Linked DNA regions of Struthio camelus. The protein of the gene in region 3 purifies or fractionates together with the protein of the main gene of each other region. This does not show direct contact. Links are inferred from orthologs where the notes say so. Each region holds a gene or a part of one and is shown on either strand. Other genes may lie near its edges.

Region 1 (7,093 bases), on a different chromosome or scaffold from region 3:
AAAATAAAATACCTTTTACTACACTTAGAAAAGTATTATTCAACTCAGATGCTGAACTTCCGTTTGATGTGTTCTAATATTAGGTAACGACACTATCTTTGTAACTCTGAAGTTGGCATGCACCTTAAACACAAACAAATCAACTTAAAGAAGTGAATATCTTGTTTTGCTAACTTTGTGAGGAGTCTTTTGAGTCAGAGGCTAAACACAAACACCAATATGGTGTAAATTCTAGCATTTGTAATAGTTTAAAAAGGGGGGGGGGGAGAGGTTGCAAAGTATTTTGAGATACAATAATGAAAAGATAAACGTATAAAGCAATGCATACTCAGAGATAAAGTCATTTCACAGCTCTGCCTGTGAGCAATGTACCGTTTTAATATTAGCTGACTCAGACAGTCTGTTTGCGGTGACCCTAATTTTACTCGTTTCATATGCATAGTTTAAAACAGCACTGAGAATCTGCATACCTTACAATGCAACTGGGAGAGAAAAATGCAAGTTTTCAGCCATACCTCATGGCTAATCATCCAAGAACACCATGTTACACCTCTCTCTAGATCACGCTGCATTAACAGAAGGTTCCTTTCCCTACTAAACTACTAAGCGTTACCGTACCTCGGACTACATGTAAGAGGAAAAAACCTTTTCAGTGGTAAGTTTACACATGCTCCCATTACGTTTGGGATTCCACACACAACAAAGATCTCTGGCATAAAGGCTTCCAATCTTGGTCGCTTCCAAAGGGAAAGCCTCTACGATCCCATTAAGATCACAGTCTCCTGTAACAGTCTCCACATCTCTGTCTCAGATATTCAGAATAATTCCTTAATTCTTAACTTTTCTCAACTTCTTTAAGATACCCCAATAACTATTAGAAACTTCAGATATGTCTTTCTGTACCATTTCTATACTTTAGTACCCTTGTGCAAACAAGGGCCCCACCGCATTAGCTCCTCTCTTCATATCATTGCAACCAAGCCCATTGGTTTAAACTCTGTCAACTGAATAAAGATCACTGGAATCAAGCAATTAAGTTGGAACTCTTTCTTTTTTTTATTTTAGGTTACCTTATACTATTACAAACAAGAATTACTTGTCACCATTTCTTCACCTGATTGTCATTTAGTACTATCACATGGAACAAACAGACAGCCATCTACTGCATAAAACTCCACTACTCACTAGTTCCTTGAGTCCTGGTGACAAGTGTCTTCCCAATGTTTCGGATATTAAACATTGCTGGTGCTTTGACATCATACCAGTCCTTTTTGGAGAAGGGATCAACCCTTAATTTAAATGAAGGAGAAAAGATTTTCACTCATTTTTCAGATTAAACCTGGCTGAAGCAAGTACTTCTCCCCATACGCTTTGTGACATGGAAACGCAAATTTCAAAACGCTGTGTTTCCACGTTTAAGATGGACAGGTTAACAGGTGCATGAACGCATACAGTGAACACTGTACTTCGCACACAAACGAAGCGCACACAAATGCCGGTGTACTTCAGAAAGAAGGAAACCAACTTCAGAAGCATCACAGGGCTAGAACGTCAAAAAGCAATACCGCGCTGCAGTGTGGCCTGTCATTTTTTGATAAAACAAGCAGTGTATTTCAATCCTTCTGCTGAGGCCTCGCTTTACACTTAAAGACCCTGTAAGCGCGAGACTTGACTCGCACTAGGGATAAAAACCAACCCGCCCCGGGCCTCTGAGCGGCCTCGCTGTTGCAGCCGCCCAGCTCCGCTCCGTTCCCAGCCCCGCGCCGCCGGCCGCCTCCAGCCCGGGCCCTGCGCGGCACCCCCGCCCCCGCCCCAACGGCCACCGGGCCCCGCCGCCATGACAGCCGCCGCCGCCGCGGCCCGCTGCCGCCGCCGCCATCCGCCCCGCATCCGCGGCATCCCGGCGCCGCGGCGCCGCCCCCCCGGCCCAGGCCCCGGCGCGGCGCCCCGCCGGCCCGCCGTACACTTTCTTCTTGGCGCCCTTCTTGCCGCCTTTGGTGAGGCGCTTGTTCTTGCCGACCGCCATGGTGCCGCCCCGCCGACGGAAAGGGCCGGCGCCTCCTCCTCGCGCGAGATTATACGAGAGCGGCGCTCGCGCGAGAGCTCCGGCTGCGCCGATCTCGCGAGACCGGCGGGCCTCTCGCGAGATCACGGCCGCCATCACGGCGCGGGGCAGCGGGCGCGAGGGGACTTCCGGGCGCCGGGGGGAAGGCGGGGGGGGGGGGGGAGAAGGGGAACGAGACACAAAAACCCCAGATTGGCTCGGGCCGGGGGTCTCCGGTGACGGTGCTGTGTGCCTTGTAAGAAGGGAGGCTTCAGCTGCCAGCTACCCTCAGAAAGATTCGGTAAGGTGGTGTCAGGCGCTGCCGGAGGTGAACGGCCGCGGAGCGGCCGCTAGAGCTCAGCGCCCGTGGCTGAAGAGTAACCTGGAGGCGACGAAAAGGCCGGGGAGTAGTTTTGCCAGCAACTAAAACCCCTCAGACTCAAAAATTCTGTGGGCGCTTTACAAACCTCTAGAAAGAGGAAATAAAACTGTGTCATTAAGTACCTACATGGGGAAGAGAAACGTGACCATAAAAGGCTCTCTTGTCTTTGGTTGATAGGCTACGTGAGATCCAACAACTGTGGATATTCACAGTATGTGAATGCTTATTAGAAATAAGGCATATATTTTTCAAAAACGAGCATAATCAGACTTTGGAGAAAACTTAAGAGACTGTCAGTTCCCTTTCCCCTCCCCAGGCATTTCTAAATTGATAACAGGTATTTTTTTCCTCATGGTAGGTATTTAGGTATGGCTCAAATGGGAGTTTATTCAGAAAAGTCTTGTAGTTTGAGTTCTGTGCGAGATCAGGTTAGATAGTCTTACTGACCCCTTCCAGCTTCATCATGATTAATCAACTTAAATTGTAGCTCATACTTTCCAGGTGTTTGTCATGCTTCTTACAGACACGGACAAATGCTGCTGTATGTCTTCTACATACTTAGTTCAGAGATCATTACAAATTACTCTTCATAATCATGGCAAAACTCGTAAAAAAAAAAAAAACAACACCACACACAACCCAGAATATAATTAAGTATTGACATCATATGATTCCCACATCCCAGACACAGGAAATCCTTTTAGATAAAAGTGTTGCAAGCAGAATAATACTGTGAGAAGTTCAGGCTGCGTTTCATAGTAGTTTGCTTTGTAAGAGAAGCATCCAAACACCTACTCAAAGCATTCCAAGTTCAGCTCTCCAATTACTTGTTGCTGCTTTCACGTTCTTTCACTCATCAACTTGAGTCACATGCCAAGGGCATAAAAAAGCAAATCGAGTTACATGGTGGGAAGAGCCTGTAATGCTAAGCTGCAGCCTGGTGCTTCCATCGCTACATACACAGTACACTGACACCAGCTGCAGCGTAGGCTGCCTCCCACTCTGGGTGCTTGCATGCTGGGCACAGGTGCTCAGCAGATTGCAGATTAAACTAACAGGCTGCCTGACAACTGGTGTGCCAGACTAGAAGCGTGGGGAGCCTTGGGCATGGTGGCAGATCCTGGCTCTATCCCCTTCCAGTGTTACAGCTGCTTGCCTGCAGCACGGGTCTGAGGCTGGGGCATGAACTGTTCGGGGCTTCTGAATCTGTTTGAACTTGCCAGTTAAAACATGTTCAGGGTAATAAAAATCTTGCACTTGGAAAGAGGCAGTTGTCAGCCACACAAACACCATCTGTTACATTTTACAAATGAAACCGGAGCCACAGGCACAGTTCTGATTACTTCATCAATTTCTTTCACACCAGCCTGGAATTTCATCTGCATGCCTAAAGCAACTGGAATCCATCAGTAACTCACACTATCAGACTGAGAACATAATCAGACAAGAGCAGAGCTCCTGCTCACTACCTCCTAGGTGATCAGACTTGAAGAAAAGAAATCTTCATATTTTTCTCCTGAATGGCAGGGTAAAGGGACGCCAGCCATGACAAGCTGCAGTCTCCTTCTCCAGGCTGCAGAGCTGCAAAAGCCTCATCTCAACTGATCTGCTTTGTTGGCACATTATTAATTAGGATTCCCTGCAGCAGACAGAGTTAACTTTAAAAATCTCACTTGCACAAATAAAATACCTCTTATAGCTCCTGAAACTACATATCTTCTGAGGAGAACTTTTTGGATTTCCTAGTAGTTTCTCAATCAGATACCACAACCAGCCTGTTTACCTGACAGTAACTGCCCTTTGCTTTTGCCCAGGACAGTAACTGAAGGCTTCCTAAGCTCTAAGGCTCCTCCATGTACCAACATCAGGGATTTTATTGTCTTGATACTCCCCTCCTAAATGAGTTTGGAACCAGCTGAAAAGGGAAGTGATCTGCAGGGTGGAAACACCAAAAAAAAAAAAAAAAAATCAGGAGAGGTGCCCAGCAAGAACCTTAGAAAGGTTCTTTATTTCTGCTGGAAATAAAGTCATAATGAATCTGATGTAATCAGCCTAGCACTTCTGCCAGATGCTACCATCCAGCATTTCAAAAGGATAACTGGAAAGCTGAGCAAATACTTCAAAGGCCTCTAGCAGTTAAAGGCTTTTTTTTTTTTTCCCCTCTCCTCTTCTCTGCTTTTACATAGAAACTGTGTAAAGACAGAAAAACTTCAGCAGGAAATAGGCATTAAGACTGATCTAACTTTGAAGTTAGCCCTGTATTGTGCAGGGGGTCAGACCGGACAACCTCCAAAGCTCCTCACATCCTAACTTTTTCTATGATTCCAAACTTTGCCACACAGGAAGTTGGGTTTGGTTCTCTCTCTCAACAGAATTTCTTTGTCTCCATAGGTAGGCTGTCAAAACAGAACAGATTGTCTATCTGTTATTAACTGTGTCTCCAGGAGGCATTTTTCACCCTTCCTTCCTACCTTCTTTGCAGTGAACAGACGAATTCACCTTCCTCTCCTTCCTTTCTAGTTCTCAAACTACAGAACTCTGCCTGCAGTTCTCTAACTAAGCTGAAGGACCTGATGTGGCTTTTTTTCTTTCCTTTTTTAGTCACTTCCCTGTTGAGCGTGATAACTGAATGAAGTTGGCTTGCTCTATTTCTTGGAAGTGGCAAAACTTTCTAAATATGGATATCAGAGAGTAGTTAATTCTAATCAAGCTTTGCTGTTAAGAGACTTCCCAGTTGGGGATGATAACCCTCTCCCCACCCCCCGGCCCCAATATAGCTTTATTGCACACAAGCTAGGTCTTCTCAAAGTTAAGATATTAATGGTGACTGATTGCCATTAATCAATGGCTTTACCATCTATGAAACACTGAACTGATAATGGATTCTAACTAATATAGTATTAAATATTGCACAATAACCACTACAGTTATGAAGACAGCACCTTTTATAGTTATTTTTGATGTTCTTATATACTATTGAAGAGTTTTCAGAATCCCACTCACATGAAATAGGTTGTTGTTGTAGCTAGTAGAACACACTTCCTTTTTCCTTATTGTCATTCTGGTTCTTCAGCATCCATTCCCACAAGAAATGCACAAAGACAAAAAAAATCCCACATTTTTCTCTGCAATTTTATACCCTAATTCCATACATCTTCCTGAAGAACCTAGGAAGAAGCAGAGGTACCAAGATTACCAAAATGAATCAAGAGGCATTCCAACCAGGCTTGTTACATGTTATCTTGCTGCCTTTCCCCTCCAACCATCTTGCACAACTGAAATAGTCAACACACAGGACTGCTCTTGAGTCTCTCCCCCCCCGCCCCCCCCAAAAAAAAAAAAAAAAAAAAAAAAAATCAACCATGCTCTGCAAAGTTTCCCCTTGTGTCATCCCTAGGAAGTAGGTCCAGTTATTAGTGTCATTCATCAGTGAAAAGAAAATGGGCATAGTCCTGGTACCTGTATGTTCAAGGAACATGTATCAATATACCTCTTGGGATCACAGATTAAATTAATTGTATTTAACCTGAGCAGTTATGCTTATGCTAGAAAAGGACACATTTAAACAAACAAAGATATATGTAAGGAATTCCACTCTAATGGATTTGGGTCATGGAAATATAGTAACTGGAGCCAACTTCCCTTAGGTTTTAAGTTCAGAAGATGACAAAATGTTTATCTCCTCCAACATTGTGTTAGTCTTTCAAGAAAAAAAAAAAAAAAAAGGTACTAGATGCTGTTCTTGCCAGTTTATTTCTTTTGTGGATAACCCCACAGCTTCCTTTCAGAGTCCTGTGCTTGGAGCAGCATTTTGCCCTAATTTTTCTTAAGTGTAGCTGGCTACCACAAATACAAGCCAGCATCCCGCGAAACCATATATATACACTTACTGTTGAGCAGTGCTCCAAGGGTCTTTGTTCCTTTGTTGTTAGCTGAGCAAGAAAATTTCTCCAAAAATCAGCCATTTCTAGGAAATACCAGGAGTCATTTGTATTGTTCTCTGGTTCAGATACAGTGCGGAGCTCAGGCATTTCCAGAGCCTTGAAATTGCCTTGTAACTAAATCAGTACTTCAGATATTTCAAATAGGAGCAGAAGAGAGGGAAAAAAGGCAAAAATAAGCTGAAGAAAATGGCATCCTTTCCACTGAAAAAGTTTTATATTTATACGAGTAAAAAAAAATATTTCTCACAATGAGAAAATTACACATAGCAATCCTAAAGATTGCCTCTAAGTAAACACTCAGTAAGTGAGAGTTAAGATTGTTTACAATCTTTTATTATAAGGTATTTTATTGCTAGCATCATAAATAAAGTTGCTTTCTTCAGGAATCTAGCTGCTGCCAGCTCAGTATGTGGGAAGAAGTTCTCACTTTAATTACAACGGTCTAGCATCTCTAGCCCGTAACAGGAGGGCTTTGTGGAAAGCGAATTTTGGAAAAAAAGGGTGTATTTATTTGCCTCCTAAAGGGTTACCACCCCAACCTAGGAATAGATGCAGTTTCCTAATGCCAAGATCAAAATCCAGCTCCCTATAAATCTTTGGAAACGTATACAAAGCAACATCTATGTCTCCTTCTCCAGCTTTCTCCATTACCCATGAAACAACTGAACGGTTTTGGACCTCCATCTCTGCCACCAGACGCTACTGACCTTTGCCATCAGTTTC
Region 2 (8,088 bases), on a different chromosome or scaffold from region 3:
TTTAGAGTTAGACTCTCTTCCCTGCGACAGAAGGAGTATCTGTATATATACAGACATATATACTGAGAACCACAGAGAACTATATTCATTGTAATCCTTTCGTCTTTTACAGCCTTGGGACTCACCTCTTTCAGAGACTCTACTGCTTCAGCCTGGATTGCATGACTGAGTTGAGGCAAGAGACCAAAGCCTACACTTCCAGTCAGGCTTGGAGGAGAACAAGTCACAGGGAACAGTCACCTTCTGGTTTCCTTGTCATGTCCCCTCAAGAATGCATATTCTTCATACCAGAATCCCAAATCACTGCATTGCCTAAAATCTAAGGTTATCCTTACTCAAAATGTCAGAAATAAAACCAGTATTCATATTAGCAATACAGATATACACATAGCTCACCATCTTCCCAATTCCATGGCCTACCTTCCCCCAAAGTCTCAGGTAAACCCCCCAAATTATTCTCTCCACAGCAAACCTTCCTTGTAGTTCATTTCCCAAGATGAATGCAGCCATTAAATGAATGCTGGGAACCATGTTGCCATTCTCCATTACATAACACAGACCGCACAGTGACTGGATGATGACCTTGGCAGGAGATCGGACGTTTGTATCTTATGGCACTGGTTTCATTTGCACACAGCAGCCTCTAGATGCAGGCCATGTTAACGTAGCCAATGAAAAGAAAACATGCAAAAGTACAGGCAGGACGTTCCCCCCTATGACTGCACCATGTTCTGTGCCTAACTGAAAACCTTTTGTCCTGGAAACTCTAGAAACATCTTCCCCGACAGATTTGACTTCTCCACCAGAAGGTGCAAACAGGTAGAGGGCGCTCTGAAGACCCCTGAGGCAAACGTGGAATAATTTAGCCCTAAATGCACAGCCTGCAAGCAAAGACCGTGTTAGATTTTTTCAAGGGTTAACCTCTCATAAACCTCTTATATAAAGTAATACATATACATGATTCTTGTCACGCTCTTACTCTCTGCCGCGTTGAAACCGCCTAAAGGCAAAAGTCCCAGGCCAATTTTAATTCTCTTGCCCTTATATTTCAGTTACACAAATAATGCAGTAGAGCTGCTGTAGGTCCATTTACACTTCCTCCATTGTTTTGAAGGGATTTTGACACACCTCGAATCACGCACTCCAACAGTTTCTCATGTTCAGATTCAGGAGATGCATTCATAGAGGAATTTTAACTTTGGATTTTCGGATTTTTCTGAATATTTTTGACTATTTTGTACATCTGAGGGTTTATTTGTTCTGGGTTTTGTTTTTGGAACAAAGGAGAGTAGCAGGAAAAAAGTTCTGAATTACTGCATTTATTGTACCTCCTGCTTTGGAAATTTCCATGTCACATTCTAATTAAGGTTTAAAATCATTAAGAATTGTTTACGATAAGGTCTCTATAAGCAGAAACCCTATTCGGACTTAACAATGTACTGGCGGATGCAGAACACATATGTCTGTATGTATCTATCTATTACATTAAACATAACCAGAATCATTCCCTGGCTTTGAAGCCAACTGGAAGAGTTTGGCCACAGTCCTTCCCTTTAAATCTCTTACCCTCCAACACAGCGTGGCCATCTCCAAACTGCCTAAGGGCAACAGTCCCAGGCTGACTGATGCTAATTCCCTAAACTTCGCCCAGCAGTTGCGTGGCATGGGCCAAAACTTTTTCAGAGACTAGGAATTTAACAGTACAGAAACATCTCTGAAGTCCAGATATGTTCCCTGGCACTGCTAAATTATCTGTGGGAATAGTCTCCTGGGAATTATTCTCCCTAGGAATAGATTCCCTGGGGTCAATCAGGCCAGGCCAAGAATCTTGGAAGATCTGGGCTGTTTGGAGAAAGGAAAAAACAGAAAGTCAGCAGAGGATTTATTTTGCTTCTCTGGGGCTTTGTGTTAATTCTTTCTTTGGTACTGAGACCAACAAACCAGTTTCCCCTGGACTACTCCCTTTTTCTGGTCCCTTGTCCGCCCCACATCCTTCTTTCCCCTCTCTTAGCATAGACTCATTCACACCATCCCTGACTTTTCAACTGTCTCTTACACAGCTGAGCACAACTGATTTCTGGTAGCTTTTTCTTCCTTGGCTTCTATGACTCCTCCTTTTCCTTATTTCACCTTTTGCAACCTAAAAGTTCCTTAAGAGGATCTTTGGATGAGTATCTTCCTCCTCCTCTTTGGGTGTATTTGTGTTTTCGCCCTTTTCTGCTCTACATCCCCTTATCTCTGGATAATCTTTCCTACAAATATAGCTACTAACCCTGTGCTGAGGCCCAAGAGGTCTATCTCAAACTTTCTGTCTAAACTAAAATCCTGGTGCCTCATTCACATCTCATGTATGACACATCAACTCAAGCTTAGCATGGCCAAAATAAACTTTCACTCTCTACCTAATAACGTCTCTTTCTCAACTACTACTGATTATTCCACCACTCAGCGCTTTCTCTAGATTCTCACATACATACAAGTGCTAACCATTTTTCTCCTTGAATAATGTGTCTAATACACAACCTTCCGTCTTCATCCACAGAATTAAAACTCTCAGCAAGGCTCTAACAATTACGTTTCAATTACTGATTAAAACTTTGTCTTTTCCAGATCTTGATAGCGCAAACTAGACCCTCATCCATTCAGAGAGCTTCAGCAAATATAACACCTAAGTCTACTGCTTCAGGTATATCACATCTTGAATTAATTCCTCAGGGACTCCTTTCCTTTTCATTAGCAAGCAAAACAGCTGTCTTCACTTCTAAAACAGAACCCTGTCTATGACTTACCACTTGGGAGTGAAGAGTCAGCTCTTCTCTGAGCAGCTCATCATTTCAGATCCTGTGATCTACTTACTAGATTTTCAGACAAACACCTTTGGGTCTTCTCTGCCCTTTGGAAGAGTTCTGTCTCCTTTAAAACAGTTCTTAAAACTGTCCTTTACTGATTCAGTAACAGTGAGGTCTGAGCAACAGAAGCCTACTATTTATTATGCTGATCAATTATTATCAGCATTATTAATAATCATGTTATGTCACCATTTCCCTTTTCTTCTCTATCCTTTTGCTTTATCTTTCCTTAGCTTTCTTATCAGCATCAGAGACATGCGTTTTAATAGCTCCTAGCATAGTGGGGCTCTACTCCACATCTAAGTTTGGTAAGTAAGTTCCTATATCATCCTAATAATTAGCATGTATGTTACTAGCTTTGCATTTAAGTTAAGAAATTCATCTTGGACTCCGCTATTCATACTAAAGTGTGTGCTGTGTGAAATATCGTAACATCGTGATAAAGCAGAACCCATGAAAAGCAGTAACCTTACAAATATTGTAATATTAGCTTTATTTCATGACCTAAGGCTTGACTACGACAAGTATTGAGCACCCAGAACTTTTTTTTTATAAATAGCAAAAGCAGATGTTCACAAGTTCTAAAAACTGTGCTCTTCACATTTTGATGTCCTCAGGACTTCACACGTCTTACCAAATAAACTGTAATAGAAAATGACTGATTGTAATTGACTTGATAAATTCAATCTCAGTTTGATGAGCAATCTGCCCCCTGGAGTAGTTATGCGCAGTCTACTGCAAAAATAATTAGATGTTTTTGTATAAAAACATTTACTTAACTTAGAAGTACCTACCTAATTTGATGTTGTATAATTATGTCTTAGTACCCAGCTTTAACTTGCACATTAGTACAAAATTACAACGCACAGAACATCTTAGTAAACATGATCAGGCAGAGATTTACAGTTATAAAAAGTTTTTAAATCAAGGTTCTTCCCCCCACAACCCATAACGCCAGTCTTTTCCAGAAGGAAAGAGAGTAGGAGAGGAGATTTCAGAGGCTCTTCGCTTCTGCTCTTTCAACACAAAAATCCAGTCAGTGCATGTCACTGCAGTAAAGACTGACAGCCACTGGTGGCTTTCACAGCCAAACTATGCAAGTGCAACTTTCTTAAAACAAAAAGTACAAATCAACTAATAGCTGAGTTCAGATGGAGCTCTTCCTATTAGCGACAAAAAGAAGCCAAGTTTCTTTCTCACGTTTGTATGCTGCTTGTCATAGGTAGTACATATGCATCCAGTAGAGTGTCAGAGACGTACATTACAGTGCCTGAAATAACCCACTGAAAATTGGTGACAGCTCCATCCCGCCTGAAATCCTGAACTTGCGGGGAACTACAGAAAACGCTTCCTCTCTCTCAAGAGAGCCCAAAGTGGGTAAAACCAGCCGAGACAGCTCGGCTGGCGGCAGCAGCGCCAGGCAGGAGCCACTGCCCTTAACCTCCCCCCACAGGGCTCTAGAACAGAAGCGCCGACACCTGAGGGCAGACGAGGCCGGCCGGCCCGGGCTGGGAGCCAGCGCCGAGGCGGTTCGCCCTGAGCCCTCAGAGGCACTAACCTCGCGTGTCCCGTCCCGCCCGGCCCGGCCCGGCGGTAGCGGTGCGCGCCCAACGGCAGCGCGCAACGGCCCTTCGCGGCCCCCAGAACCTCCTGCGCGCTCGCGCAGCCACCCACGACACAGGAAGACGCAGCTCGCGCACTGCTCCCCCCCCCCCCCACGTGACTTCCGGCTCCTGGCGGGGGCGGGCCGACGCTTACCTAGCTGGGAGACCCTCTCGGGGCCAACCGTTATCTAGCGCGGAATTGCCTGAGGGACGCTTAGAATAAGGCCCGACTCCCGAGAGAGGCACGACATTGTCCTCGCCTTCCCCGGCTCAGAAGCGCAGCGAGACGCAGACTTTGCCTCCGAGACCTGGCTTTACCCCTTTATGGGCTAAAGGGACATGGCCGACAGGCTTTAGATGGAGCAACTCCGGGTTGGTTTTTGATCGACCCACTCCCAGGGTGACGAGCGGCAGCGCCGACCTTGCTTGGAATGTTCCATCAGTGGCATAGGGGGGATTGCAAAGCTCCCCAGTGCCGTCAGCGGGCCAGGTTCTAGTCGGGCCCAGAGGCCCTCCCCTGAGGGAATGGTTTTCCCCAGCACGTCGGCCGGCAGAGGCGGAGCGCCACCCGCCACCACCCTCCCCCGGGCCCGGGTGCGCACGCGCAGTAGCGGCGGCGGCCGGCTCACGTGCTCCTCCGAGTGCGGCGCGCGCGCGCGGAGGTCATGGCCGCGCTGCTGAGCTCCGCCGGGCGCCTCCGGGCGCTCTGCCCGCGCCTCCTGCCCCTCCTCCGCCCGCCGGCGGCAGCCGCCGCGCGCCCCCCGGCCCGGGGCGCCGCCCCACCCCCCGGCAGGTGAGACCCGGCTCCGCGGCGCTGCCCCGCAGCAGCTGAGGCGGGGGCGGCGCGCAAGGGCGCGGCCGCCGGGGCCGCCTCGCGCCCCGGTGGCCGTTGGCCCGCGGCCGTTGGCCCGTCCGGCGCCTCGCTTCCCGGGCTGCGGGGTGAGGCGGGGGGCGGGGGGACCCTGCGGGGCCGGCCCGGCGGCGGCGGCGGCCTCTCGCCACGTGTGAGCAGGGTGAGCTCAGGGTCGAAGGGCGCGGGGAGCGCAACTGCTCTTCTCCAGCGCCGCCAAAGGCGGAGCGCCCCTTCCCTCGCTTTGTCTTACAGTGTTGTCCCTTGTGACTTACGCGAGAGCACGCTGTTTCTTTTCCTCTGTGAAGAGGAAGAGGCAAGTCTTCTTCCAGGCCGTGTAATTATACGTGGGACAAGCTGTGGAGATGGGGCGTCAAGGAGGAAGGGAGAGACGAGGCTGGGCAACGCAGTAGTTTACTCCAAGTAACTAAGCAGTTGGATTCGGCGCTTTCTTGCCCTTGTCCATCAGACCTGGCTGGGTCAGTTATCAGGAGGAGTAGCTTAATTTCGTTTATGTGTTTTCCTCTCTTCCGTCACACCATGGAGTGCCTGCCCTGGCCGCACTCCCGTTCCTGTTCTGAGTACGCTAATACCTCGTTGGTGCCTTGCAGGAAGTTTTGAGGCACAGCTTTTCCTTAAGATGAGTGTACTGGTTTTGTACAAATCAGTCATTAAAGCAGGAAATAGAGAGAAAGTGAAAGTGTGGGGTAATGATGTCACATGTCTGTCTTTCTGTGACTTTGTAGGACCCAAGGAGTATGATAGGGTTGAATCAGAGCGTTACAGTGTTCTCTTTTTAGTTTTGGGAGAGCTAAGCTTTCTTTCCAGTGGTGGTTAAATGCAGCTTAGGAGCTGGGAAATTTTTTTGTCTGGAGCATTCATCTTCAGGACATGGAAATGCATAAGGCTCAACCCTGAACGTGCCAGAGCTGCATAAATTTTTTAGCTCTTTTTATGCACTGATTTTTCTAAAAGATGATGTTAGTTATAGCATTCTCTCTTTTAGGTAGGCTAGTTGTTTCTGTAGTTCCGTCAATTACTTTTGTTAAGGATATTTACCTTGTGCAGTTGATAGGTACGTAAAAGGCTTTGAGTCGTGTTTACCTTTCATATTTTATATAGTTAGGATGCTGTCAGAACTACATGAAGACTTAAGTTATTTTATTTTAGGGATTATTTTATTGTCAGCACGTTCTCAAACTGCGTGTGAATGGGAAAGGTTTGCTCATGATTTCTGATCCTTGACGAGATTAGATTTTGATTTCCATCACGTTCTATTTCTATGTCTGCAAAATATAAAGTTGGGAATGGTTTGAGATGCTTTAGCTTTCGTTTATGGAAAATGACTTACTGTAATTATAATTACAATTGTTAAATATAAATAATAAAACAAATAATAAAAACAAATATTTATATTTTATAGATTACAACCATGTAGTTAAAGAGGAGTTTAGATCTCTTTCCTCCAAGGATATGATTATTTGCTTTATTTCTTGCAGCATGTGTAAAACCTGGTGAGGAACCAGTTCAGTTAGGTAGGAAAGGGATATGGTGCTTTTACTGTTTAGTGCTGTCACCTTACAAACTGTTCTGATAGTAGCTGATATCTCTGTTAGATGTGAAGTGCAAAGGCACAAATAGCTGAGAGCTTGATATTCATCTAGTTAAATATCCAAGTCATGTTATAGACAAATTTTTGCATAAAATCTAAGAATCTAAAAGCGTCAGGCACGCACACTCAGTCTTATGAGATTGAGTGTGTGAGTAGCAATGTAGTGCTACTCAAAGGAGGAAGTTTTTCTGTCCTGTTTCACACTTGGCTTGTTATTAGTTCTGGTGGTCCCTCTGAGTCAGTGTGACTCAGAGGTGGAGTGACAGAAAAGCAGCTCACTCAGAAAAGCTAAACAGTTTTCTACCATTCTAGATAGGTCCTTTGCTAAACAAATTTATCTAGTGAGCTCCAGAGCTGGCTCAGGAGGAGTAGTAGGAAGAAAAGAGCAACGGAAAGGGGAAAGTAAAATCTCCTAGAGGGGAGGTCTTAGCTCTCCCCAAATAGGCAGATTACTGCTACTTATCCCCTTTGCACCAACACTGAGGCTTATCAAACCTGTAGTTGATTTGTTTGAGTAACCTGATAGAAAACCAACTCAGAGCGCAAAAAAAAAAAAAAAAAGTTTTCTGTTGTTTTTAGTGATTAAAGTAAAACAGATCTTTAAATACTAGAGTAGGTGGGAGGAATAGAGTTGGAGTAGAACTTGTGAAGGAAGGAACAGGGAACCCAGAAGAGATATGCTCTATGGTTACCAACAGAGCTACAAATTTAGTCTTAAATAGACTTTTGTACCTTGTGCCGTTTCAGCTGATTTTTTTTTTTTTCCTCTAATGGAAGCAGCATTTCATAAAATAGTTTGTTGCAAGAAGTAGTGTTCGCAAAATGCATGCATGATTTGATGAGGGAGTAGCAGCACTTGCTAGGATTGTATTTCTGGAAAGAACTTGGAAAAGTGCTTTATACAGTGTTATTTTCCGACTTTAGCAGCTGATCTTTTTCCACAAGTGTTACCTTTTTGCTTCCAGTTATACTCTGCTAAGTTTTCATGCGTAAAAGGAGTCACATGGGATCGTTTAGGGATCTTGCTGACGACTTTAATGTTCAGGCTAGATTAAGTATGATTAAAAAAGAATTATACTTAGAGAAATAGATGTTTGATAGAGAATATGTTCATAGAAACAGCAGTTATGTCTTTCATTGTTCTCAGGTTGCAGTCTAATCTGTGTTTTATAT
Region 3 (7,813 bases):
GGACAGCCTTTAGGAACAGCACAGACAGTAACGTCTAGCGTCAGCTCGGGGCGGCGGGGAGCTGGGGCGAGATTTGAGCGCTCACCTCTCTGGCTGGCTGAAGCGCTGGCCATTTCCTGCTTCGAGAGGGCTTTCCTCACCTCGCAGTTGTGCCCGTTCACAGTGTGGTATTTCTGAACTGCAGGGAAGGAAACGGCGTTTAGGACGCTGCCGTCAAGCCGGACGCCCATCCCGCGCCCCCAGCACCCTCCCCGCAGCCAGACTTACTGACTATCTTGTCGACGGAGTCGTGGTCATCGAAGGTGACGAAAGCGAAGCCCCTCTTTTTGCCGCTGCCGCGGTCTGTCATGATCTCAATGACTTCGATTTTGCCATACTGGCCAAAATAGTCTCTCAAGTGATGCTCTTCTGTGTCTTCCTTAATGCCGCCCACAAAGATCTTCTTGACTGTGAGGTGGGCCCCGGGCCGCTGGGAGTCCTGCGGGAACAACGCGTGAGGTGGAAACGGGGCGGAAACGGGGCAGCACCGCACGCCCAGGTCTCCCGGGCAGAAAAAAAAACAGGCTTCGGAGCCTCCGTCCTCAGCACCTTCACCCTCGCGCTCAGTCACCAGCCATCCAGCAGCACTCGGAAGCGGTTACCCTCTCAGCCAGGCCCGGAGCGAGGTGTTTAAGCCTAGAAGAGCTGGCAGTTCTGCCCCGCTTTGGTTACCGCTTATCCAGGCCGTGCAGACCCACCCCAAGGCCAGCCTTGAGCCTTCTACGCCCCATCTCTACCCTCAGCCAGGTCCCTTCAGCCCTTAACAGTGAGGTCCAAAAGCGTTTCTTGACCGCTGCAGGACTAGCTGGGAGAGCCACGGCCCGAGGCATCACCTGAGCCTCAGAAAAGCTCCTGGCACCACCAGGACGTGGCACATCGCGGCGGTCACCGCGCGCACGGGCACGGTTTGGCTGCGTCAGGTGCCCAGCGCCTCCTGGCAGCCCCGCAGAGCGTCCGCACCTCACGCGGGTTCCTACCTCTCTGGAAACGGCCCTCTTTGGTTCAACAACTCTGCCGTCGACTTTGTGTGGCCTGGCGTTCATGGCAGCATCGACCTCTTCGACTGAGGAATACGTGACGAACCCAAAGCCTCGCGAGCGCTTGGTGTTTGGGTCCCGCATCACCTGGGAGGACAAACCCACGTCAGACAAGGAACAGCGACAGGTACTAAACGAGCCGTCAGCAAACGGGGGTCCTAGCCTGCTGGTTACCAGTTAGCACCAACCCTGCTCTTCTCAAAGACACCATCAGGGACCAGCTGCCGCATGCAGAGACGTTGGCGCTGCCTCAGGGTGTCCCTATGACACAGCTCAGGGAAACTGGGGGATATTTTGGGGCCGGGGCTTGCTCCATCCTGACGCTGTCCCTCAGCACCTTCACCTCTCCCTTCTGCGGGCAGGTCCTGGCCCAAGCAGACAGGTCTTCCACCCAGAGCAACCACTTTCCATTTAACCCAAATAAATACGCTTCGAGCCCCTCAGTATTACACCACCAGGGCTAACAGCGGTCTGAGAGCCCCAGAGAGCCAGGTCTCCCCAGAGGTGTCACAACAAGAGCCCCTGAGGGCCGAAACTCAATTGCCCACCCTTGTCTCTGCACAGAGGCTCAGCTGCTTCCTGCACCGCTTTGACTCCGCTCAGCCTGGCGGAGAAGCCCAACGCAAACCACGTCTCCTCGCAGCGCAGAGCCCCGCGAGGAGGCAGGCAGGCGCGGGTCAGGCCTTACCACGCAGTCGGTCAGGGCGCCCCATTGCTCGAAGTGGCTGCGGAGGCTTTCGTCTGTTGTTTCGAAGCTGAGGCCGCCAATGAAGAGCTTGCGCAGCTGCTCGGGCTCCTTAGGAGACTGGTGGGAGAAAAGAGCGGTACGGGGAGGGGGGTGAGCAGGGGGTGCTGCTGCCAGCAGGCTGCCCTCCCTACCTGTCCTGTGGGACACCCCTACCCCCCCCAGGGCCACAGAGGTCCCATCACTGCCAACTCCCCTCCACAGGCCCCCCTAGGCCCAAACAGGTCCCATCACTGCTAATTCCCCTACAAAGGGGCCCCCCAGGCCCCAGTCAGGTCCTGCCCCCGCCACCCCCCTGCACAGGGCCCCCCCAGCCCTGTCCCCAGCCCCAGGCAGGTCGTGTCCCCCCCACACCGAACCTGTGGGCCTGCCCAGGCCCCACCAAGACCCTGCCCATCCCGAGGGCCCTCCCTGCCCCCCCCCCGGCCTGTCCCAACCCCAGGGCAGCCCCGTCACCCCCCAGGTCCAGCCTGCAAGGCCGCGCCGGCCGCAACTAGGCCCTGTCACCCCCCAAGCCCCATCTATGGGGCTTCCCCAGCCCCCAAGCGAGGCCCTGTCACCCCTGTGCCCCCCCCCGACCCCTCCCGTGCAGGCGGCCGGGCTCAGCCCAGCCCCGGCCCGGCGGAGCCCCCCCCCCCCAACCCGGAGCCGACCTGAGCGCCGCGCATGCGCGCTGGCCGCGCGGCCGCCATAGCCCACCCGAGCACAAAGGCGCGCACGTGGCTCCGCGAGCGGGGAGCCGCGGGTCGGCGGGGGGTTGGGGGGGGGGGGAGAGAGAGAGAGCGGGAGCGCGCGCGCGGCTGCGCATGCGCCGCTGGGGGCCCCCGGCGCGCCGCGAGGGGCGGGGGGGGCGCCCGCGCGTGCGCAGAGGGCGGCGGGGAGGCGGGGTGCGCAGGCGCAGTGCGCGCGGCCCGCCAGCCGCCGAGCGCGGCGGCCCAGGAGGGGGAGGCCGCGGCGGGCGGCGGCGGGCGGCGGCGGCGGCCCGGGGGAGGGCGGGGGCGGCGCGGCGCTTACCTCGTTCTTGGACATGGCGGCGGTGGGGGGAGAGGCGGCCTCCGAGCCGGGCTGCTCCGCGCGCGATGCTCCCTCTGCGAGGCGCCGACACAAAAAGGGGCCGAGTGACGAGAGCGCCGCCGCCTCACTCCGCCGCCCCCGCCGACCGCCCGCCCCCCGGCCGCTCCCATTGGGCGGTGCCGCCCGCGCCGCGCCCCCGCGTCGCCTCCCATTGGGCGGCGGGGCAAAGCGGTTGGGCCTCATTGGTGGTGGCGCGCCGCTCCGCCCGCGCTGTCGCCGCCGATTGGTTAGCGCAGAGGAGGTCCCGCCTCAGGGCCTATCGCATTGGACGAGGCCTCCGAAGCCCCGCCCGTGACGCGCGTCGATTTTTCCCGCTTCGTCCCGGAGACTCGCCAGCTCTTCCCGGATTGGCTCCGTCGGTCGCGGTCCCGCCTCGCGCCTCCCTCTCATTGGCTAGCGCAGCAGCCCGGCGGTGTTCATTGGCGGGGCCGGTTGTCGCTCAGCGCTCCCCTGCGGCGGGCCCGGCGGAGGTCAGCGAGCGCAGCAGGAGCGGGGCCGCGGCGGAGCGGCAGCGGCGGGGCCGGGCGGCGCGCGGCGCCCCCAGCGCAGCCCCCCGGCGCGCGCGGCAGCAGCGAGGACGCTCGCCCGCCCGCCCGCCGGCGCCCAAGGTGGACTCCGCTCGGCGCATGCGCAGCCCGGCGCGGCGCGGGGCCGGGCGGGGCGGGCGCATGCGCGGCGCGGGGCGGCCGGCGCCTGCGCGCTGAGGGCGCTGTTTTGGCGGGCGGCGGGCAGTGCGCAGGAGCGGCGGCGGCTCGGCGCGGCGGCGGCGGCGCGGGGGAGACGGGGCCGCGGCGGAGCTGCTCCGTGCCCAGGTAGCGGGCGGCGGCGGCGGGCCGGTGGCGGCGGCGCCTTGCGCCGAATGAATGGGGGGCAGGGAGCGAGGAGGGGGGGCGTGCCCCGCCGGCCTGATTGGCAGCCGCGCGGGCCAATGGTGCCGCGCGGGGGGCGGGGCCGCGCCGCCGCGGGGGGCGGGGCCGGAGGGGGCGGGGTCGCGCCGCGAGCGACGGGCGGCGCGGCCAATGAGGCGGGCGGGGCGGGGCCGAGAGGGGCGGGGCCGCGGCGTGAGCGGCGGCGGCGGCGGCCAATGGGAGCGCGCGGCCCGCCCCGCCGGGTGGATGTGCAGCGCCGAGCAGCGGCTCCGGGCGGCCGGCGAGGCTGGCGTGCGCTGAGCGGCGTCGGGCCTCAGCCCGGAGCCCAGGGGCCTTGGCAACAACCGGCGGCCCCAGCGCGCTCGTGCGGGGCGGCCGGGCCGAGGTTCGGCTCCGCTCCTGGCGCCGTGGGTCTTCTCCTGCCGTCGCCCGTTATGTTTCTTACAGCTCTTAAATCGCTCCGGAGAGAGGCGGCTCCGGGCGGCGGAGGAGACCCGTCTCGCATCGGGTGGGAGGAAGCGCCCGACTGCTTTGGTGTTATTTCTCTCCGGTTTGGACAAGCCGGAGCGAGGGGGCGGCCGCCTCGGCCCGGCCTCGGGGCTTTTCTCCGTGGGGTTTGGCGGCAGCGGCGGAGCCCCGTCGCCCGCCAACGCGGAGGTTTCGCGGGGATCCCGCTCCGCGCCCTTTGCTCCCGAGCTGCTTCGAGCCAAAAATCAGCGGTTTTAGGGCTGAGGCCGGCTTTGGGCACGCCTTTGCCGCGGGTCGAGGCCGCGGCTTGGAGCTGGAAAGCGCCTCCGAACGCCGCGGCATCGATGGCACGAATGACCCACGCTGGGAGATTTCGGAGGGGCCTGTCACCGTGGCGTCAGGGCTGCCGGGGTCTCCCCCTGCCCCATCTACATCATCGCGTTGAATCGCCCGGGGATAACACGCATCCCGGGGCCCAAACACCGCGTGGCTGGAAGGCGGCTTCGAGGGCCGGGGCGGAGCGGGGGGAAGAGGGCGATTCCCTTCCCGCTAGCTTTCGGTGCCGCCGTTTTTGGTTTAAAAAGCAGCCTAAAACGCACCGAAAGCGGGTGGCGCCGAGCTCCTTCGCCCGCCGCCCCGCGCCGCCAAACCTTTAATCAAACCGCCCCGGCGGGGAGCGAGCGCCGATGAACCCGGCTCTTTCCTTTTGCCCCTGCAGGAGGAGGCCGAGCTCCGACAGGCGGCTGGCGCGGGAACCGGCGGCCCCCGGCCGGCTCCGTCGCCGCTCGACCTACGCCGGCACGCGGCAGGAAATGCCGAGCGGGGACGGGGAGACGAGGAATTTCCTGATTCCCGTCTCCGGTTCTTCTCGCTCCGTTTTTTTTTTTCCTGTGTCATTAAAACAAAAAATAGAGGATTTAAAAACCCAGCTCTTTGCCCGGGAGCTTGGAAGCATTGCCGGCGGGGGACGCCGACGCCCCGGTTCGGCTCACCCGGGGCGGGATGGAGGCGGTGGGCGGGGAGGGGGGGGATCACGCGTACGCGGCGGCTTCGAGACCTTGCGGCGCCCGCGCCGAGAAACCAGATTCAAACCGCGGCGCCGGTCGGCCTCGCTCCGCCCGGCGAATCCCCGCGCGGCCCGAGCCGGCCTTTGGGGATCGTCCGGCGAACGGCGTTTCGCTTCCGGCCGGCAGGAATTGGGTGGCGTCGGCGCGTTCGGCGGGAGCTCCTGCGCTATGGGCAAGAAGAGCAAGCGGACAGCAGACAGTTCGTCCTCGGAAGACGAGGAGGAGTATGTGGTGGAGAAGGTGCTAGACAGGCGCGTCGTCAAGGGGCAAGTGGAGTACCTGCTCAAGTGGAAAGGCTTCTCCGAGTAAGTGCCCCCTGCCTTCGCGGCTCCGCTCAAGCCGAGGAGGAAGAGGAGGGAGGCGGGGGGCACCCCTGGGCGCAGGGGAGAGCCTCTCCCAGCCTTGGGGAGAGGCCCAGCCGCGGCGCCCGGAAAGCCGTTTAGCAGCACTGCTTGCTTATCTATTTATTCATTCATTCATTTATTTATTCATTCATTCATTTATTTATTCATTCATTCATTTATTTATTCATTCATTTACTTATTCATTCACTTATTCATTCATTCATTCATTCATTCATTTATTTGAAATTTCCCGCTGGCAGGGAACATAACACCTGGGAGCCGGAGAAGAACTTGGACTGCCCGGAGCTCATCTCGGAGTTTATGAAAAAATACAAAAAAATGAAGGAAGGCGACGCCAACAAAACGCGCGAGAAACCGGAGAGCGCCAAGCGGAAATCCGGCCTGCCCCACGCCGCCGAGGACATCAAGGCCAAAAAGAAACGGGAGGTGAGCGGAGGCCGGGCGACGGCGGGCGGGAGGGGTTGGGGGTAACGCGGCGCCGCCAGCGCCCCGTTCCTCCTTCGCGCCCTCCCGTCCGTCCGCAGAGCAACGACATCGCGCGGGGCTTCGAGCGAGGCCTGGAGCCCGAGAAGATCATCGGCGCCACGGATTCGTGCGGCGACCTCATGTTCCTGATGAAGTGGTGAGCGCGGCTGCCCCCCGCCGTTGGGGACGCGAACCGGGCAGGGGGGGACGCGGCTCATGACGCCCCGTTATGTGTTTGTGTCCCCCCCCCCCGCCCCAACTCCCGCAGGAAGGACACGGACGAGGCCGACCTGGTGCTGGCCAAGGAGGCGAACCTGAAGTGCCCGCAGATCGTCATCGCCTTTTACGAGGAGAGACTGACCTGGCACGCATACCCCGAGGACGCCGAGAGCAAAGAGCGCGAGGCGGCCAAGAGCTAAGGCGGCCCCCGGCGGCGCCCCCGCTGTACATAGCCCGTCCGCCCGCCGCCCGTCCCCCCCCCCAACCCCGTTGTCGTCCGTTCCCCCCCCCCCAAAATAACCGCATCCCCCTGCCGCCCGCCGGTCCCCGCGGCGGTGGCCTCGGGCGCCCCGGCGCAGCGCCCGCAGCCGGTCCTGCCTGGGGAAGGTGGTGGTGGGGGGGGGGTCTCCCCTTATGCCCCCCCCCAACCCCATCGGCCCCCGTTTGCCCCCAGCGGGGCCCGTGGGTGCCTGCGTCGCCCCCCCCGCCCCCCCCGACCAGTGACAAAGCCTTGGGGTCCGTCCCGGGGACAGGACGGTTCCCCCCGTCCCCCCCCCCACGGCCAAACCCCAGCTCTGGGGCTGGGCAGGGGGGTTGGGGGGGGGTTCAGCCCCCATCTCTGCTGTTTTTCTACCGTTGATGTTTTTAACTGGGCCCCCCCCCCATCCCCAGCCCCCGGGGGCCCCCCCCACCACCCTGGGCCACTTCATTGTCCCCCCCCCGCCCTGGGTTGTCCCCTTCTCCCCCCCCCCCCCGGTATTTGCTTCCAATAAACGGTCACTTTTCAGGAGCCGCCGCTCGGTGCTCGGCAGCGGAAACCGGCCCCCCCCCGCCAGTGTCCCCAGTGTCCCCAGCTCGGCCCCCCCCAAACGGTGGTGTCCCCCCCCACCCCAGGCTGCAGGGAAGGGACCCAGGAGTCCTGCTCCCCCCCCCCGCCGAGGAAGCAGGATGGGGCCCAGGTGTCCGGCCCCCCCCCCAGCACCGCAGGGGGTGGGAAAGGCAGTGCCCCCCCCCACCCCGGACGCCTGGGCCCCTGCCTGGCCTTGGTCTCTGGCGCCACCTGGCGGGGGTGGTGCTGCGAGGGGTGACGGGGGGGGGGTGTGACACGGGGTGAGGGTGTCCCAGAGCGGGCCCCGGTGTCCCGCGGTGCCCCCAAAGGATGCGCCCAGTCCCCCCCCCCCAAAAGGGGAAACTGAGGCACGGGGTGGGGGGGGCAGCACTGGGGACCCAGGCGTCCGGGGCGCGTCACCAGCCGGGGGGGGGGCTCAAGCAGCTTCATTGGAGGTGGGGGGAGGCGCTTCGGGGTCCGGCAGCCCCCCCAGCAGCCCGTCCTGCGCCAGCTGCCCCCGCAGGCTGGGGAGAGAGGGGGCGTCAGGGGGCGGCGGGGGGGACGCGGGGGGGGGGGAACGCGCGGCGGGGGGGGACGGGGACCTGTGGGCGAAGAGGAAGAGCTCGTGGCTGTGGC

Evidence for each region. The genes of interacting proteins can lie anywhere in the genome.
Region 1: the proteins of HNRNPA1 (region 3) and RPS3A purify together in Homo sapiens (affinity purification with mass spectrometry; 3 studies listed by BioGRID and IntAct, counting the BioPlex papers as one, with this or other methods). This does not show direct contact. The link is inferred for Struthio camelus from reciprocal best matches to the Homo sapiens genes HNRNPA1 and RPS3A.
Region 2: the proteins of HNRNPA1 (region 3) and LRPPRC purify together in Homo sapiens (affinity purification with mass spectrometry; 3 studies listed by BioGRID, with this or other methods). This does not show direct contact. The link is inferred for Struthio camelus from reciprocal best matches to the Homo sapiens genes HNRNPA1 and LRPPRC.

The regions. Positions count from the first base shown.
Region 1 is NC_090945.1:37,075,547-37,082,639, reverse strand, and holds the start of RPS3A (small ribosomal subunit protein eS1), read right to left. Parts: upstream 3,031-7,093; 5' UTR 2,162-3,030; coding exon 1,965-2,161; intron 1,290-1,964; coding exon 1,186-1,289; intron 1-1,185.
Region 2 is NC_090944.1:110,245,724-110,253,811, forward strand, and holds the start of LRPPRC (leucine-rich PPR motif-containing protein, mitochondrial), read left to right. Parts: upstream 1-5,058; 5' UTR 5,059-5,118; coding exon 5,119-5,246; intron 5,247-5,670; exon of another isoform or gene 5,671-5,782; intron 5,783-8,088. UniProt on the Homo sapiens protein: May play a role in RNA metabolism in both nuclei and mitochondria. In the nucleus binds to HNRPA1-associated poly(A) mRNAs and is part of nmRNP complexes at late stages of mRNA maturation which are possibly associated with nuclear mRNA export.
Region 3 is NC_090969.1:2,899,859-2,907,671, forward strand, and holds the start of HNRNPA1 (heterogeneous nuclear ribonucleoprotein A1), read right to left. Parts: upstream 2,901-7,813; 5' UTR 2,851-2,900; coding exon 2,836-2,850; intron 1,882-2,835; coding exon 1,765-1,881; intron 1,164-1,764; coding exon 1,017-1,163; intron 479-1,016; coding exon 268-478; intron 179-267; coding exon 86-178; intron 8-85; coding exon 1-7. Other genes in the region: CBX5 (chromobox protein homolog 5), read left to right, coding at 2,901-3,365, 5,426-5,604, 5,904-6,090, 6,189-6,286, 6,398-6,548. UniProt on the Homo sapiens protein: Involved in the packaging of pre-mRNA into hnRNP particles, transport of poly(A) mRNA from the nucleus to the cytoplasm and modulation of splice site selection.